Saccharomyces cerevisiae S288C: one gene and its partner. The protein of the gene in region 1 interacts with the protein of each later gene in a pairwise test. Each region holds a gene or a part of one and is shown on either strand. Other genes may lie near its edges.

The links. Proteins that work in one complex are often made in the same cells at the same time.
Region 2: the proteins of YML119W (region 1) and YLL032C interact in binary tests that used the Saccharomyces cerevisiae proteins (3 or more experiments, as listed by UniProt).

Annotation. Positions count from the first base shown.
Region 1 is NC_001145.3:28,138-35,858, reverse strand, and holds YML119W (uncharacterized protein), read right to left. Parts: upstream 5,249-7,721; coding exon 4,175-5,248; downstream 1-4,174. Other genes in the region: NAB6 (Nab6p), read right to left, coding at 1-1,616; NGL3 (3'-5' poly(A) RNA exonuclease), read right to left, coding at 2,008-3,525; NADH-ubiquinone reductase (H(+)-translocating) NDI1, read left to right, coding at 6,052-7,593.
Region 2 is NC_001144.5:72,450-81,604, forward strand, and holds YLL032C (uncharacterized protein), read right to left. Parts: upstream 4,299-9,155; coding exon 1,821-4,298; downstream 1-1,820. Other genes in the region: putative AAA family ATPase RIX7, read right to left, coding at 1-697; IRC19 (Irc19p), read left to right, coding at 960-1,652; mannose-ethanolamine phosphotransferase GPI13, read right to left, coding at 4,703-7,756; RRT7 (Rrt7p), read right to left, coding at 7,907-8,248; FRA1 (aminopeptidase P), read left to right, coding at 9,012-9,155.

The DNA.
Region 1 (7,721 bases):
GTCCCATCAAGTTCTACCCCTTGAAGTTTCGTCGCAAGCATATCAATCTCTTCATTTAAAGATACAGATGATGACAGACTGGTTAAACTCATATTAGAGTGACCGTATACGGAAACACCAATACTACTATTATTATTGAGTGTGGTGATACCACTCATATTACTTTTATTATTGTTTCCGTTGTTGTTGCTATCGTTATTGTTCCCAGCAGTAACAGAAGGCACCGATAAACGATGTGTGCTCGTTTTACCCTCGTAAATATTAGCAACCGAAGATCTGGCTGAGCTAACTACCAACGGGGCTAGGGATACGTAAAAACATTTAGAAATGCCTAAGTTTTTGGAGTATTTTTTCAAATAATCGAGAACTTCAATAGCCATAGAGATATTCAAAAAGGTTAAAACGGCGTAATTTTCAGGAAATTGATTGGAAGGTACATCTGTGTTCACTAAATCGATAGATTCCAAAATGTATCTTTTGTTTTTTGACCTGTCCAAAAATTGTAATTTCTTTTTGAATAAATCGCTTTTCTCCACGGGGCTTTTGAATTCAATTATAATCGACCTTGTAGCATCTTTGTTCGCTATATTATGATGCAGCGAAGCACTGATCATTGTTGAACCATTGGTAATGTCGGCTTCTTCAGCGTTTTCTGTTAACGCTTCACTCTCAATAAAGGTAGGGAGGCATTTGGGATCATAGTTTAGACAAACAAATTTCAGATTTAGTGCTTCAGATTTCAAAAATGTTTTGAATTCAGATAACCTTTGTAAAATGTTATTGTAAAAGTTCAAACAGTCGCCTTTGGTTAGAAAGCTTATTAGAATGGATAGATTTTTAGTCTCTACATCTTTTGAATCATCGCTCTTCCCTCCTTCAATTAAGTAGGCACTTTCCAGAGTATTGGATTTGACAAAATTTTTGACTATAGAGTGTAAATCAATAGAATGATCCACATTTTCAATAAGCAGCGACCTAGTTCTATAAGCATCATCACCAGTCGGTAGAACCTTGTAATTAATACAAAAGGGTCTTTGTAAAAGCATTTCTGGAAGTATGTCGTCGAAAATGTTATTCCTTGCGAATGTTCTTCTTCCACTGTTGTTCCGGGTGTCGCACCCCTTATTGTTGTTGTGAGTAACATTCCTCGTACTGTTGTTGTTCCTCGAGAAAGAATTTCTCCCCATTCTATAATAGTTCGAGGGTGTTACCATTCCGTTATTAGTATTGTTTTGGTTACTGTTACTGTTTCCGTTGTAACCGTTATGATTAGAAACGGGCCTCGAATAAGCCTTTCTTTTGAGATTAGATGATCTTGCAGAATTATAGCCACTTTGCATGTTAGGCGAGGAAACAAATGGAGATCCCATCAATAGGTGAGATGGAAAAAGACTGGCACCGTATGCAGTATCAAAAGGTGTTGGTGGAATATTAGGTAATGGTGAGTTGGTGTAATATGCTGGGTGTTGAGAAGGACCATATTGGCCGGCACCGTTTACGAAATCAACAGGATGATACATCATTGGATTTCCCACCATGGCGTTCATCCCATTATAATCTTGCTGTTGACGGTATGCGTAATTCGCAACAGGTTTTTTTGAATTGGAATTTGACATATTGGAATCCTCAAAAAAAACAATAGAAAACGGATTCTTGCGAGTCTTGTTCGAGCCGATCAAAAACCCCTTCCTTGATAATATAAACGAACGACGTGAATGAGCCAACTACACCTCTTCAGTCTTTGGGATATCTTCTCTGGATGCTTTTCACGTAACCTGAAACAAGGAAAAAGGGCAGGTTTGTTGTGGTGTTTCTATGCTTGATTTTATTTTTTTTTTTTTAGCCCGTTGAGGCGCAACGAAAGGGGAAGGGTGACCAAAAATAGCACGTAAAAGCTGTGAATAAGGTGAAAGTGACGCTAAATTGAAAGAAAAATCCCAGTGACCATCGAAGCGTTGATTACTGTCTTTCAAACACAAATGTAGGTTGTTTATATATATTGTTTCTTTATTTTAAGCTATGCACTTTCTCCCCCCCAAAAAACAAGCGTATTTGGCACATTAGGGAAATGTGATCACTAGCATATTCTCCCTCGAAAGGTTGGGAGTGTTTGGGCATTTCTTGTGCGCACGGCATCCTCAGATATCCGATTATTTTTACGTTGTTATTTCCTTCAAAAGCATTCAGAGGCTCTTTCTGACGCGTGTCCTGATTATGATCACCCTCGATATAAAATATGTAGTCTAATAATCCACACCATGTATTGGCCCAGTTTGAGAGTCCCGGTTCGCCGTGGCTTCCGTTAGCATTTTCAGGATGCACTTTACCGTAGCCAATCCCATACAAAGATACGCCTTTCACATGTAGTGAATTATGCAACGCAACTAATTGATTTACCAGAGCCTTTTCTTCCTTTGTGGCTGTAAAGCTCTCTGGTTTTGGGTTTTGTGGTTGATCTGAATGGCCTTCGCCCCTAGACTTTTCATCACACTCTTCATCATCCTGGTCACTTTCTTCTCCATTCCTTTTTTTTGAATACCGATACGCTAGTGAGCATTCCACCATAGCTCTTATTGGGCCTTTTAATATCAGTGGTCTTTTCGTTATGGCCAAGTACGGTGGCTCTTCAGGTTCGGTATTGAAATCACCCATCAGTAGGCTATGCCAGCCATTATATTTGGAACATGCTTTAATTTCCTGGATCTTTTGTAAAACCAAGTAAGATTGCCTTAATCTTTCAAATACCCCAAAGGGATGCCAAAATAGGTGTGTATTTGCGACGATAATTCCTCTTGATGATGAATCTGTTATACCCTTGAAATATAGCGATATAATAAGGGCAATATTTTTAGTTCTTGTTCTTGCTGAAATGACATTTCCCGCCAATATATTATCGTAGTCCAGCATCCAATCATTATCTAACTGGAATTTTTTATTGTTCCATGCAACTAGTAGTCCATGAGTTTTCCCTTCATGCCTTTTGAAAATCACATCAAACCCTAACTTATGGAAATTCTCCTGCCAGAAGTTGAGTTCATTGTAATCGACCTCCTGCAACGATACTACATCAGGCCTGTACTTTTTCAATTCGTGGACCAAAACTTTTGATCTCTTATGCCACTTTAACGCTGGTCCACTTTCTGGGAAAAAATCTCTCCTAATCAAGGTTTGTGCTAGAGTATTATAGGTCATTATTTTAACGTCCAATGAATCTTGGGTGACTTGTATGGTCGCTGGCGTAAGACCTTTCGAATTATCATGGTTGATAGGGAGGAATGGTCTTTCAATGAATTGTAAGTCAGGCGTTGGGAAGTCAGGGTCCTTCCCTTGGGATATTAGAGAGTTCCTACGTACCTGTCTCTTCTGAGCACGTTCTTCTCTGATTTTCTTGATTTGATCCACACTTAATTGGTCTCTGTGTATTTTTTGATGTGCTGGGCCATCTTCACTAGGTGAAACGAGGCCTGAGGTGGAGGAGGACTCCTTCTGTGAGGGGGATATTTTGCCTTCTACTTGGCTATCCATATTGAAATTAATGTAGGAGACAAAACAAAAGAAAAAACTGTTTAATGCTGTAAATATTAAATTTTCAGTGAGCTAACTCCACGATAGTAAGTAGTCTGCTTCAACCATGTGTTAGTTTGGTATAACTATTGTGATTGAATATTGGTATTATAGGTCATCCTTTTTTTCTGTGCAACGAAGGGGTGGCTGAGCATTTTATATATAATGTCGGGAGAGGAATGCAGGACTTTTAACATATCAAATGAATAGTATCTGAGTTGTTCACATATTTGGTACGTATATTATTTATTATTCTGCAACTTGTTTACTGCATGATAATATTGAAATAAAGTGAAGAGAAGACGGCACAGAGAAATTACAATGGCGCAAACGTAAGGCAAAAATGGCACAACGAATTCTGAATTCGATTGCTGGATCACTTTTCAAAGATATTGTGTTCGGTTGTGACAAAGGCATCATTAAAATAATTATATGTCTTTTGTCATAAATTTAGATCGTTAATAGGCTTTTTTTTGTATTTTTAATTCACATGTTAAATGTTTCGTTTTGGCAACTAATAATAAACTACATTAAGTAAAATGCAAAACTTCAAAGTGCGGAAAAATGTATTGGTATATAAATACTATAGACAGAATACAGAGAATCCGTATCATTTCAAAGGTTCATTACTTAGTATCTCCGCAGGGAGGATTCTGTTGTTCGCACTTCTCTGCTGAAAGCTATCCTCCTCCTCATCTTCCTCATCTTCATCTGAAATGGCGATGCTAAAAGAATCTACCATTCGAAATATATCAGATCTATCCATTGCCTTTCCATCAAAACTCAATTCAAAGCTTTCGTTGGCATTTGTGGAAACACTGGCCCCGGCTCTCTGCTTCGCATTGGAATTAGGGAGATTCTTTACGGGCTTGCTGTTACCTTGCAGCTGCTTTTGTTGCCGTAACGTTGATGTCAGCTGCACTCCGCATAATTCGTCTAGTGATTTTGAGATCCGTGTCTTACTATTTGTGGACAATTGAATAGGTTGCAAGAAGTGATAGTTTTTCTCAAACTTCAACGAAATTAGCAGGATTATGATTTTTTTGGATATATCGTCTATCGTTTCGTGCACTGGAGATGGTAATTTATATGTGGTAACGACGGACCTAGGTAAGATGCACTTCTTGATGTTGAAATTTGTTTTTGATTTCGTGGGAGAATTCGTCAACTTAGGTGCCACACTAGTGCTACTTCTTGTACCATACAAATCAATTGGCTTGGTAAAATACCGTTTCTTTGTACACGTTCTGGAAGGAAAAATAATTTCATTTATGCTGCTCACTTCCTTCGTTTGATTGAATTTAAGAGATTTAGAATTTAAATGCGACACCGACTGATGATGCGGATGGGAATTTACATTGGTGTTTGCAGCGCCCATGGTATTTGTATATCTAGATGGCCTGTTATTATTACTGCTACCGCCCCCGGTATAATGGTCTTCATTAACTCCTTTATTAACCTGCGAAATACTGTTAAACCTTGGTCTCAGGTTTTTTGTGGGTGACTCTGGATAATAGAAAAACTGCTGGTTGGAATCGAAAGTCGCTTTTTGTTGGAAGCTCAGGACTGGCTGCTGATTCAAATTAAACTGCGTAGGAGGCAGGACCAGCCCACCGCTGTTATTGATGTAAGATGATTTGTTATTGAGCGTCCTTCTTGGCGACACTGATGGACTTGGGCTCATTGCTACCTACTTTTTTTCTTACTGACCTAAGGCTGCAGGTGCAAGAAAAGAGTAAAAGAATGTTAAAATACGTTTTGAAAGGTCTCTGTTTTCATGTACAATTGAGGGATAAAAAAATCTTTTCTTTCTTTCAATGCGGATGATTGACACTTTCTTATTTTGTGTTTTTATTTATGTTCTTTCCTAATCTGGAAAGCATATTAAAGACCGGCGCTACCCGGTTAAGTAATCATACACGTGAAAAGCACGTGAACAACAAAGCACTTTAAAACTCATATACTACGCATTTAAAGAATGCTAAAACGGCAATTGCCACTGGGCACCATTTAAAAGGTCAATAATGAATCTGTGACCTTTCTTTGCTATAGCATCACTACAACTATGTGTTGCTTGTCGCTAGCAACGAACCTATTATTCCTTCGCTTTATTGTCGAAGACCACAAAATACTCCAAAGCAATAGAATGTCTCTTTCCGCAAATAACTTACTCAGGGAAACAATACGAATATGTGCAGATTGCCGATCATTGCTGAAATGCCTCAAAAATATGCATTTTCTCATGACCTATTCATTCGGACCAATCATATGAAGGCATTGAACGTCCGGGTAACCACAATAAGAGTGCTCCCCCTTAGCGCTCTTGGTTATTGCCGGTATTTGCAACGTCGACAGGGTATATATAAGATGTATAGGGCATAGTGGGGAAGGAGTTTTAACTACCAATTGAGGAGTTTCAGGTAGGGTGTCAGTTTCATCACATCATCGAATTACACGTTTACCCAAGAGAAGAAACTAAAAACCACTATGCTATCGAAGAATTTGTATAGTAACAAGAGGTTGCTCACCTCGACGAATACGCTAGTCAGATTCGCTTCCACCAGATCCACAGGGGTGGAAAACTCCGGAGCAGGTCCTACATCTTTTAAGACCATGAAAGTCATTGACCCTCAGCACAGCGACAAACCAAACGTGCTGATACTGGGTTCGGGGTGGGGAGCTATTTCGTTTTTAAAGCACATTGACACCAAGAAGTACAACGTTTCCATCATCTCTCCTAGAAGCTATTTCTTATTTACGCCTTTGTTACCTTCTGCACCAGTTGGGACAGTAGACGAAAAGTCAATTATTGAGCCCATCGTTAATTTTGCTCTCAAGAAAAAGGGGAACGTTACCTACTATGAGGCAGAAGCCACCTCTATCAATCCCGACAGGAATACCGTTACCATAAAATCATTATCTGCCGTTAGCCAGCTATACCAACCTGAAAACCATCTAGGGCTGCATCAAGCAGAACCTGCTGAAATTAAGTACGATTATTTAATCAGTGCTGTAGGTGCGGAACCTAACACATTTGGTATTCCTGGGGTCACTGATTACGGTCATTTCCTGAAGGAAATTCCCAACTCTTTGGAAATAAGAAGAACTTTTGCCGCCAATCTAGAGAAGGCTAACTTATTGCCAAAGGGTGATCCCGAAAGAAGAAGACTACTGTCCATTGTCGTGGTTGGTGGTGGGCCTACTGGTGTAGAGGCCGCTGGTGAACTACAGGATTATGTTCACCAGGACCTGAGAAAGTTTCTCCCTGCATTGGCCGAAGAAGTCCAAATTCACTTGGTCGAAGCTCTGCCCATCGTTTTGAATATGTTTGAGAAAAAGCTTTCATCATACGCGCAATCACATTTAGAAAACACTTCGATCAAAGTACATCTGAGAACGGCTGTCGCCAAAGTTGAAGAAAAGCAATTGTTGGCAAAGACCAAACACGAAGACGGTAAAATAACCGAAGAAACTATTCCATACGGTACTTTGATTTGGGCCACGGGTAACAAGGCAAGACCGGTAATCACTGACCTTTTCAAGAAAATTCCTGAGCAAAACTCGTCCAAGAGAGGATTGGCAGTGAATGACTTTTTGCAGGTGAAAGGCAGCAACAACATTTTCGCCATTGGTGACAATGCATTTGCTGGGTTGCCACCAACCGCCCAAGTAGCGCACCAAGAGGCCGAATATTTGGCCAAGAATTTTGATAAAATGGCTCAAATACCAAATTTCCAAAAGAATCTATCTTCAAGAAAGGATAAAATTGATCTCTTGTTCGAGGAGAACAACTTTAAACCTTTCAAATACAACGATTTAGGTGCCTTAGCATACCTGGGATCCGAAAGGGCCATTGCAACCATACGTTCCGGTAAGAGAACATTTTACACCGGTGGTGGCTTAATGACCTTCTACTTATGGAGAATTTTGTACTTGTCCATGATTCTATCTGCAAGATCGAGATTAAAGGTCTTTTTCGACTGGATTAAATTAGCATTTTTCAAAAGAGACTTTTTTAAAGGATTATAGATGAAATTAACATGCCCTTTTCTGGAAAAAGGAAAAAAGGTGGTAGGCACCGTTTTTTCCTGAGTTTGCATCCTTTTTTTTCTAAAACCCTCTAAACAAAACCTAACACACACACACACGCACAAAAA
Region 2 (9,155 bases), on another chromosome or scaffold:
ATAAAAATATCTCTGGATGAAGAATGGGTAGACCTATTAGTTCCATAAGTTGTGCAACGACATCATCCATACCACCTAAGGATTTCAGAGACGAATTAGGTGGAGATCTATCTTCCTTGATTTTTTGACGTTTTACCTTACATGTACCTTCTTTGGATCTTTTTTTAGATTTTTTAACCTCTTCTGTCTTAGGATCATCAGTTTCTGTTATAGACTCGGAAACAGATCCAGATTTGGACCACGTGCTAGTTATGCGTTTGTTCATCTCATTTGTGTCTCGCTCAATCATCATATTTTTCTTAGCTAGTTCTTCTTCCAAGCTTGGTTTCTCTTCCTCTTCGTTGTTGTAACCTGGGTAAGAACCAAATTCTTCCAATTCTGATTCAATCACGTCTTTTAGCATGCGGTCAATTGTCTTTTGTAAGACAACTTTCTTAACTCTTTGAAGTGATAAATCTTTAGTCAAACAAAAGGTAAAAATCTCACCTGCTGTTAAATCTTTAGCGAAAAACATGGATTCAAATATATCCTCATCTTCTTCACCCTCGTTGTTCTCGCCCTCTTCTCCTTGGGATTCTTGTCTCAGAGACCTTTTTCTGTCCAAAGTTTTTTCTTCCAAGAGACGATAGATAAGATCGACGATCTTGTTATCTAGAGAACTTGTTAATGAGTTCTTTTTCGACTTTACTTTAACCATTATTCCAGCCTTCCCACCACGTAGCTATTATCGGCCCTAATGATCTTTTATTCTAACTGACTCGCAGATTAATTCACACATCGGTTGTTAATCATTGTTTGAATTTCCAAAATATGCGATGAGCTGAATGAAAAATTTTGGAACCTGTCACTATCGACGAACATCGAAGTTTGCCATGACAACCATATATGAAGAAAGCTTATGAGACTAGCTCGAGTATATCATACGTATGCATGTTAATCGCAGTTAAGCGGATAACACAATGCGTAAGCCTTCTATTACGATAACAACAGCAAAAGCTATTATAACTCCAGACTATACTCTTATTAAATCGCATTCTAAATACCAACTTCCTTCACGTTTTCAAAAGCTAGATGCAGACTCACCTGAGAGAAGTACAGTTGTTAAGCTATTTTACCGCCGATTTATGAGGCTTAAGCCTTTCATATCGAATGTGAAAATGGTTAAAGATACTTACAGGGATTATGTTCGATATAAGTTTATGAAAGAAAACTACGAACTCAAACGATACTTGGTATTCAATCCTGATGGCTTGAGGTCGAAAATCAATCTTGAGCTTCTCAGCAACACGAAATGTTGTGAAAGGATACTCCCCGTGACTGAGATGCAAAGAACCTTGGAATTTGTTCTGAAGAGCTGTTCATACTTGCCCGAAACAAAAGTTCAAAAGTGGGATATTGCAAGGGACAACACATATTGCAGGCAAATTTTAAAGAACCTTTTAACAATGCAATATGAAAAGTACAGATCGATTTTGCATAGAGGAATAGGCCATGATGAGCTTGACGTCAAATTCTCTCATTTGAAAACTACTTCTAGTCCGCTAACTAAGCTAAATAAAACCGAAAAGAAAAAGATTCCGCTTTTCAAAGTATTTAGTGATTTCGATACAACATTGATATATCTCAATGAGACATTAGGTACAAGGTTATAAAGATCATTATCGTAAAAGAGGAGCGGAGCGGAGCTTTTTAGTATGTATGGTAAAATATCAATCAAATACTGTAATAGATGCGGATATGCGCAATGACATATTTTGTGGTGTGCATATCCATTGAAAAGGTGCGTAGAACGTTACAATACTACTGAACTTTTTTCCTTCTCATTTTCTGCCATTTTGATATTTATGCCTATTATTGGTTTGAGCTTTATTAGAGTTGGCATAATTATAATCGTACTCGTATGTATATCCGTATCCATACCCATATCCGTTGTAATAAGTGTTTGGTATATATCCTTTGATGGCTTGGGCTCCTCCTACCGTCGTTATAACAGGCATTTTGTGGCGTTGTGGTGAGGCTCCTGATTGGCTGGTATTATCGATGGTCGTACGACTTTTGGCATTATTCATTGATCTGAAATTGCCATTGGTATTGCTATTACTGGTGTTACTCTTGCTGGAGGCAGACCCTAGAACAAATTTTTTAATTATTTTTTTAAATATTATTTTCGTCTTTTGTGTTTCCAAATAATTGGATAGTAATTCGATTGCTTTTGTTAGAGTATTCTCATTAGTATCCTTTTCAAAAGTAAAAGTGATAAGGTCCTTCTCAAAAGTTACAATTATGTTCATAATTTGCAAAAATGGAACAACAATTAGGTTATAAAATTCGTATTCTTTATTGGGATCTATCTCTTGATCTATTTTGAACTCGTATTCATAACCAAACGCACTATTAACCAATTCGTTAGCGGCTCTTGATGCATTCTCATCATTTCCTTGTATACTCAATTGAGATGTTCCATCCAAGGGCTCTTTTAACGGTATCATTATGTAAACATTTTCGTTCTTTTCGATTTGTCCTATAATATTCTTTTGGCCGTTAACATGCAAAATATGTCTATATTGCCCACTAGAAAATCTAATGAGCGTCTTCGATTGTAAACTATCATATTCTTGAACAATTTGTTTTAAATCATTCTTGGCTAGGCATATATTAGCTTTGTTTTTCCTGGGGCACCTAATTATCACATTATCATACCTGATCATAGAAATTTTATTTTGTGGAAGATTGAAACTATTGGAAAACTGAATGAAGACGTTATGCTTTCTCATTGTGGCTTGAATTAAGGAACCACCTGTACCTATAATCGGTCTGTGACAAACTTCAGGAATGAAGAAAGATTCTTCGGCAGGAAATTCATTTATAACATTCTTAAATGATTCCTTGAAATCAGGGAAAGAGTCACTAACCAAATTTAAATAAAGGTTATCATCTTCCTCTTCCATTTCCAGTTGAATTAAGCAAGCAGATAGTTCCATTATACGTGTTAATTTACCATTTTTCTTGCCTGATATGAAGTCTTCAAAATCAGGATGTATCTCGAAAATGGCTTTTATCTGTCTTAAGTTTGGATTAATCACTTGATTTGAGCCCATAATAAAATCAGATAAGTAATGCAATATGGAAGTATCGGACGCCTCATCTGTGGAAGATTGGTTACCAACTACTATTAATTGGTTGAAGGAATCCTCTTTGGGAGTTATTACTACAATTTGGTTTCCAGTGTGTCCGAAAAAGCTGTCGATTATTAATTCCGGGGACATTGCGCAGTTTTCATTGAGTGAAATCTGTACTTCTACAATTTCATGTAATACTTGAATAGTGAAGTTCTTAATAACCATTTCTAATAAGTTCGTGGAAATCGATTGAAATTCAATGTATTCGTTAGTAACTCTAATAAGCGATTGGTATTTCAAAATTAACTGGTTTACCTTTTGTTGGTAGTATTTTCGGATAAACAGTAGTTTTCCTGGGGTAATATTAGTCAATCGACGATAAAAAAAACTCTTTGAATTCACGCTTATGGACTCACGTAGAGTTTTCCTAGCCAGTAAACTTAGTGAATGGACAGCGCCTGAGAAGAAGATTTGTGGATTTGCCTTAAGATCCCTAGACAGCGTAATGAGGGAAGGTGCGTAAATGCTGGTTTTAAAAGCTCTGGATATATGTTTGAAGTTTTCCATATCTACACCCATATATAAGGGAAGCACAGAGTATGAGTTCAGTTCCATAGGTTCGATAATGTAGTGTTGTGGAGGCAAAGTCATACCATTCTTCTTTATTAAATCGACAAATGCCAATAACTGGGGTTCGCATTCCATTAAATTAGATCGGAATCCTAATGCATGCACGTAAATACATAATTCCTTGCTCTCGCCTGTCTGTTCTGGTGTGAAGTAAGCTGGTTCTTTGGTGATGATTAGTTCTAAATTGAATTTTTCACTCAAGTCCAATAGTATACGTTTCATTTTTTCCAATTCTGCTGTTAGATCATTTGTGTTCATAGGTAAGGGCAAAGAAATCCTGCAAATAGCATCGAGGTCCATATCATCTGTGGTAGCTTTTATTGAGATCATGTCATCTCTAATGAAAGAAGCATTTAGATTGACCCATGAGGGATCTATATGACAGATTGCTTTTGTGTTTTTAAGTTCTTTGGAGCTTATTCTTTTTTGAAGAAATTCAACTAAAAAAGGTGCTTCTATGGGCTTCCATAATCTATTTGTCGTGTATAAGTGTGGAACTTGTAAAAAAGCAGTTGTGATAACTGTACTGTAAATTTTGAAGTTATCCATGCCTCAACCGTGTGTTTACTGCTGTTTTTCTTTTTAAACAATTGTGTAGACTTAACCTCTGCGGGCTTGAATAGTGCTTCAAAAGGTTCAGGTAGTCAAGAGGTTAGCTATATAAACAAAGATGACTTTTCATCCTTTATTTCTTTTATTTTGTTTTTGTTTTTTGCCTTTGTGGAAAAAAAACAATCTACAAGCGAAAAGAAAAATTTTGGAGAAAAATATAATTTAGGATTACAAGAAAGTGATAGAAAAATGTACAATCTTAAAAGAATAAAGCTGCAGAAAAGAGATGCTTTTGCTTTCAAATTTTTGCAATATCAAGAGATATGATTTACTTGTATCTAAATTACATGTAGATATATATATATAGTATATTTGTAAGTAAAGAGTGGAAATGAAGTTCGTCATTTCCAAAAAATGTCATTTATGTGCTTAATCAATCTCCCACTAGCAAATGCAATTGTACCAAAAGTAACGACCAGTTGAGTGACTATTAAACTTAAAGAAGCAAAGATAAACCTTGGGCAGAAGATTTTCCAAACCATCAAGTGTCTACGGAAGTGAGTAACCCAAATAAAGGAGCTTAGACATAAAATAGTATTGTAAGTGAGTAATATACCGCAGTTTGACACAATTCTTCCTAAAAGTGTTTGTGGCTTCAACACATCAGGAGGCTGTGACCACAGTGTCAGTAACGCTACAGATAAGGAGACGAGAATATGAGGCCCAAATGTATTTAGGATGATGGCTATCTGAGTGAAGGGGAACGTTACCTTTTCAGACAGCATAAATCCGATATCCCATTGCACTGATGGAATTGTGGCTTGATGACCGGTGGTGAAAAAATGTTGGTAAGATAAGAGTCCCAACGCAATTGGACCAATTATGTTTTCCTTTAATTTTAAAAGATCGATAATTTCTAAAATTGATAGTAGTTGGTTGCACATGAGGAAGTATGACAACTGGGCCAGGGGTTTGTTGAATAGTAGGATACTAATGAGAACGTTTATGACCAAAAGAAAAAACTCTGAGCCGTAAATATTAGTATAACCTAAAATTGTTGCTTCGTGAGACTTAACATCAGTATTATGAATGTTTAATTTAATACAAAGTGGTCCCATTAGCCAGCCGACATTAGAAGCAATCAATGAAAAACCGGCAATAATTCTAGCCAACGTAAATTTAAAAATAGTGACGTCCCGTAAGAACGGTATTGCTATTACCGCACTGTTATTTTCTAATGAAGTCAATGACCAATAAACAAAGTTCAAACCAAGGATACCCTTTAGGAAAACGTTTATCCAAATTGGAGCTGCAGCTTGATAAGACGATGTTAGATTATAATAACCGGTGATGCATGCAGGTAATATGAATATCATTAGGAAACAGAGACCCAAAACCCACCACGAGGAATTGTTTTGATTATTAAATGTTGGAATACAATATTCGCCTTGTTCCTCTCTACAAATGGTAATCATAGAAGCTAACCGGGTAAAAATGATTAAAACTGCAGAATGGTAACCTCCTAGTAATCTTGCAAATCTTGTTAATGGTAAGTAATTTGAATTTGCTGTCGAAGGATTGACCCCTGAAGTGGTTCCTTCCTTTTCACTGATTGTTGCAGTTAATAATGCAGTGGTGGATTGCCTTTTTGGTAAGAAGACAAATTCATACAACGTCAACATGCCGAAAGTAGATAAAAGGAATGCTACAATTCTATCCTCCCAAATAGTAAATGAATTGGAAGTGAAAAGCAAAGCATGAATAATCATAAACATGACAGCAATTCTTGACCAATAATCAGCTAATGTTTCACCCAGTCTCATAGCAATCCAAATAAAGTTGTACCTATCAAATATTGTGATATAACAACCAATAATGATACCAATTGCAGTCGCTAACAGGGTACCCCAGAATTGGTCTACAAAACTTGGTTGTTGATAAACGTAAAAAATTCCATGGAAACATAGGTTTGTAACTAAGACCATTATGATAATTCCCGGAACGAATTCTGGAACCATTTGATTCACAACAATAGAAGGAATTAATTTTGTAATGGATATCAACAGGACCAGTGAAGTGGCCAGTAGCGTTATACCGGTGGCAATGGAATAATAATCGAATTTGGCCCATAGTTCTTCGCAGGTCTGCAAGAAGACCTTTTGGTATTTATGACCCAGCTTAACAAATTTTTCTGGATCGCTTGTTGGGGGGGTGTTAGATATATTTTTCGCTAACGGTTCCAATATTTCGTCATTGCCATGGTGGATCTGCATCGTGTCCTTATATAATTGTAATTGGCTTATCGCTGAGTTGACAAATTGAGACCATTCTCTATCGTTTCTTGCTATTTCGTCAATAGGCCATCCAAGATTGTTAAATGGTATCGGTTGGCCCATCAATAACGCCAAACTAGACACCAAATCAATTTGTCTCACTGAACGGTAATCGTGTCCCAAATTATCAATGTTGTAATTCGAAGTTTCTTTAAGTCTCCACATGTCCGGCTTCTTAGAATAAAGAAATAAAGTGCTTTCGAGCTCGTCGATGGAGTCGCCACCGTGATTGCCCGTATGGTCCATTCCATGGTCACCCAAAATAACCAATAAGGTATCATCATCGATCGATTTTAGTATCCAATCGATAAATTGATCTACTTGAATTTGTTTTTCCCTCATAGTAAAATGGTCGGGGCCATATTTGTGGCCCACATGGTCAATACCTAGCATGTGTCCAATCATGACGTCCCATTCCTTGTCCTGCTGTAAATGATCATGGAAGTAATCCATAACACCGTTATCGACAGTATCTAAGTCCCACACATTGAGTGATTCTAGTGGGAAACTATCGTTGGAAAGGAACGGATGGAACAGAGCCATCCATGTATCATCTCCGGCAAATTTGACAGTCTTATTTGCCAAATGGAGCTGTTTAAGAAAGTTATCCTCTTCGATTACTGTTCCATCGAAGTTAGACCCGGCATCAATGAAAGTCGGTAAGGACCCTGTTGTGAGACCCTTGAGTCTTTGTAAAGTAGTGGTTGGTGGGTCGGCAATGAACTTCAACAATAGGGAAGATGCATCCTTATCGCTTGCAAAAGAATCATACAATGATAATATATTATTATGATAGTTCAAGTTGTAATTAGAGTGGGATTCGTTTACAGGAATAGCGAAATCAAATCTCAAAGCGTCAATAACCAAAATCACCGCCTTGTTGAACCTAGGAGGTAACTTACTCGTTTCGTTTTGTGAGGAAATATTATCAAGAACGTGTCTTGACAGTAAGAATCCCCGAGTGAAAAAAGCTATTGATATGAATTGTAAAATGGCGATGAAAACCAATAGAATAATATAAAATTTATGATTCTTTTGAAATTTCTTTATTCGCGATTTGTATATTATTTTTTCATCATTGGAAGATGAAAGAATCGACTTTTTAATTGTCTTTTCATCCATATTACGGGAGCTTTTTTTTTCCACTTAATGTATTGATCTTCCTCCCGTTCTTTGACGATTCGGCGTTGCCCTTAAAACATATGCTTCTATTCCTTTTTTGATCTTACCCATTTATTTGTTTTTTTTTATTTTCCGGTGGACAACAAAATGTTAAAGGAAAAAAGAAAGTACCTTGCTCGTCATCGCGCTTGCATAATGTGCGCCATTACCCTGTAACAAAAACAAAAGATAGAGTGGCAACAACTTGACACAACTTTGCAATTGTACCATGAACCCCAACAAGAAAGGCGGTTGAGAGTAAATGATGTGGTTTGGTTCCTTTTTTTTCCTACATTTAAGGTTCATAGAGAAGAAAATTTTCTGAAATGTCTTTTCCTCTTTTAATGAATTGTAAAAAAGCCAGTATTGGAATAATATTCTATTCAATATAGTAAGAAAAGAGGCAATGGGCAGAAATCTTCTCCCGCATAATCCTTTAAATGCAAAATACATGTTAGGCGTCTAAATTTTTTTCAGTGAATCCAGATGCAGAAACATTTAAACAATAAATATCTTAAACCCATTTTGAAGCATCGGCGGCTAAAAAAATGATTTTGCATGGAAAAAAATGAGAGCTGTGAACCCAATAAAAAAGACAGCTTTTTAAAAATGTATAACGGTACATTAAGCTCTTGTTTATTCCTCAAACTGCTCCTAAAAACCATCCTCTCAAAAATAATAATGATAGCTGAAGATTATCTGCCACGAAATGCCATTGAGCCGCTTACTTGTAGGTTTTCATGAGTAATAACGAAGATAATTTACCCGTCTTTATAACCCACGTAAAAATAAACATATAATTATTTCTTATTATTTCAACTAACCGTTAAAGTGTTCAAATATGGTAGAAAGCTTTCCCTATGTGCATTATGATTATCTTTTAGCCGCCAGAGTTTAGTTTAATTTTGTTTTGTTTTTGACGACTTCTGGTGTTACCCGAAGGTATATCCCCGGGTGACCCCTAAAAATCGCACCCCATTTTCCCGAATTTTCTTCTACGTTTTCTTTTTTCAGAAATACTTCGAATGAGGGATGGAACAAGAAGGAAGCGACATACAAAAACTGAGTCAGTTTAGTCTTAATAGGTGCAATATTTACAAATACAGGAAAGGCAGGAAGCACTGGCAAAAAGACTGCATAGCTAAAAAAAAAAAGAATAAAAAAAAAACGGAGACCTCAACAGAGCGAAACCAATAATTACAAACAAAATCTTCATATGACTTCGAAACCATCCACCAGTGACGGCAGGGCTCACTCGATTTCCCATGTACCTGGCACGCACATGAGAGGAACATCGGCATCACACAGCCCCAGACCGTTTAGGCCATGTGCGGATTGTACGTGTTCTCCAGGCTTACTG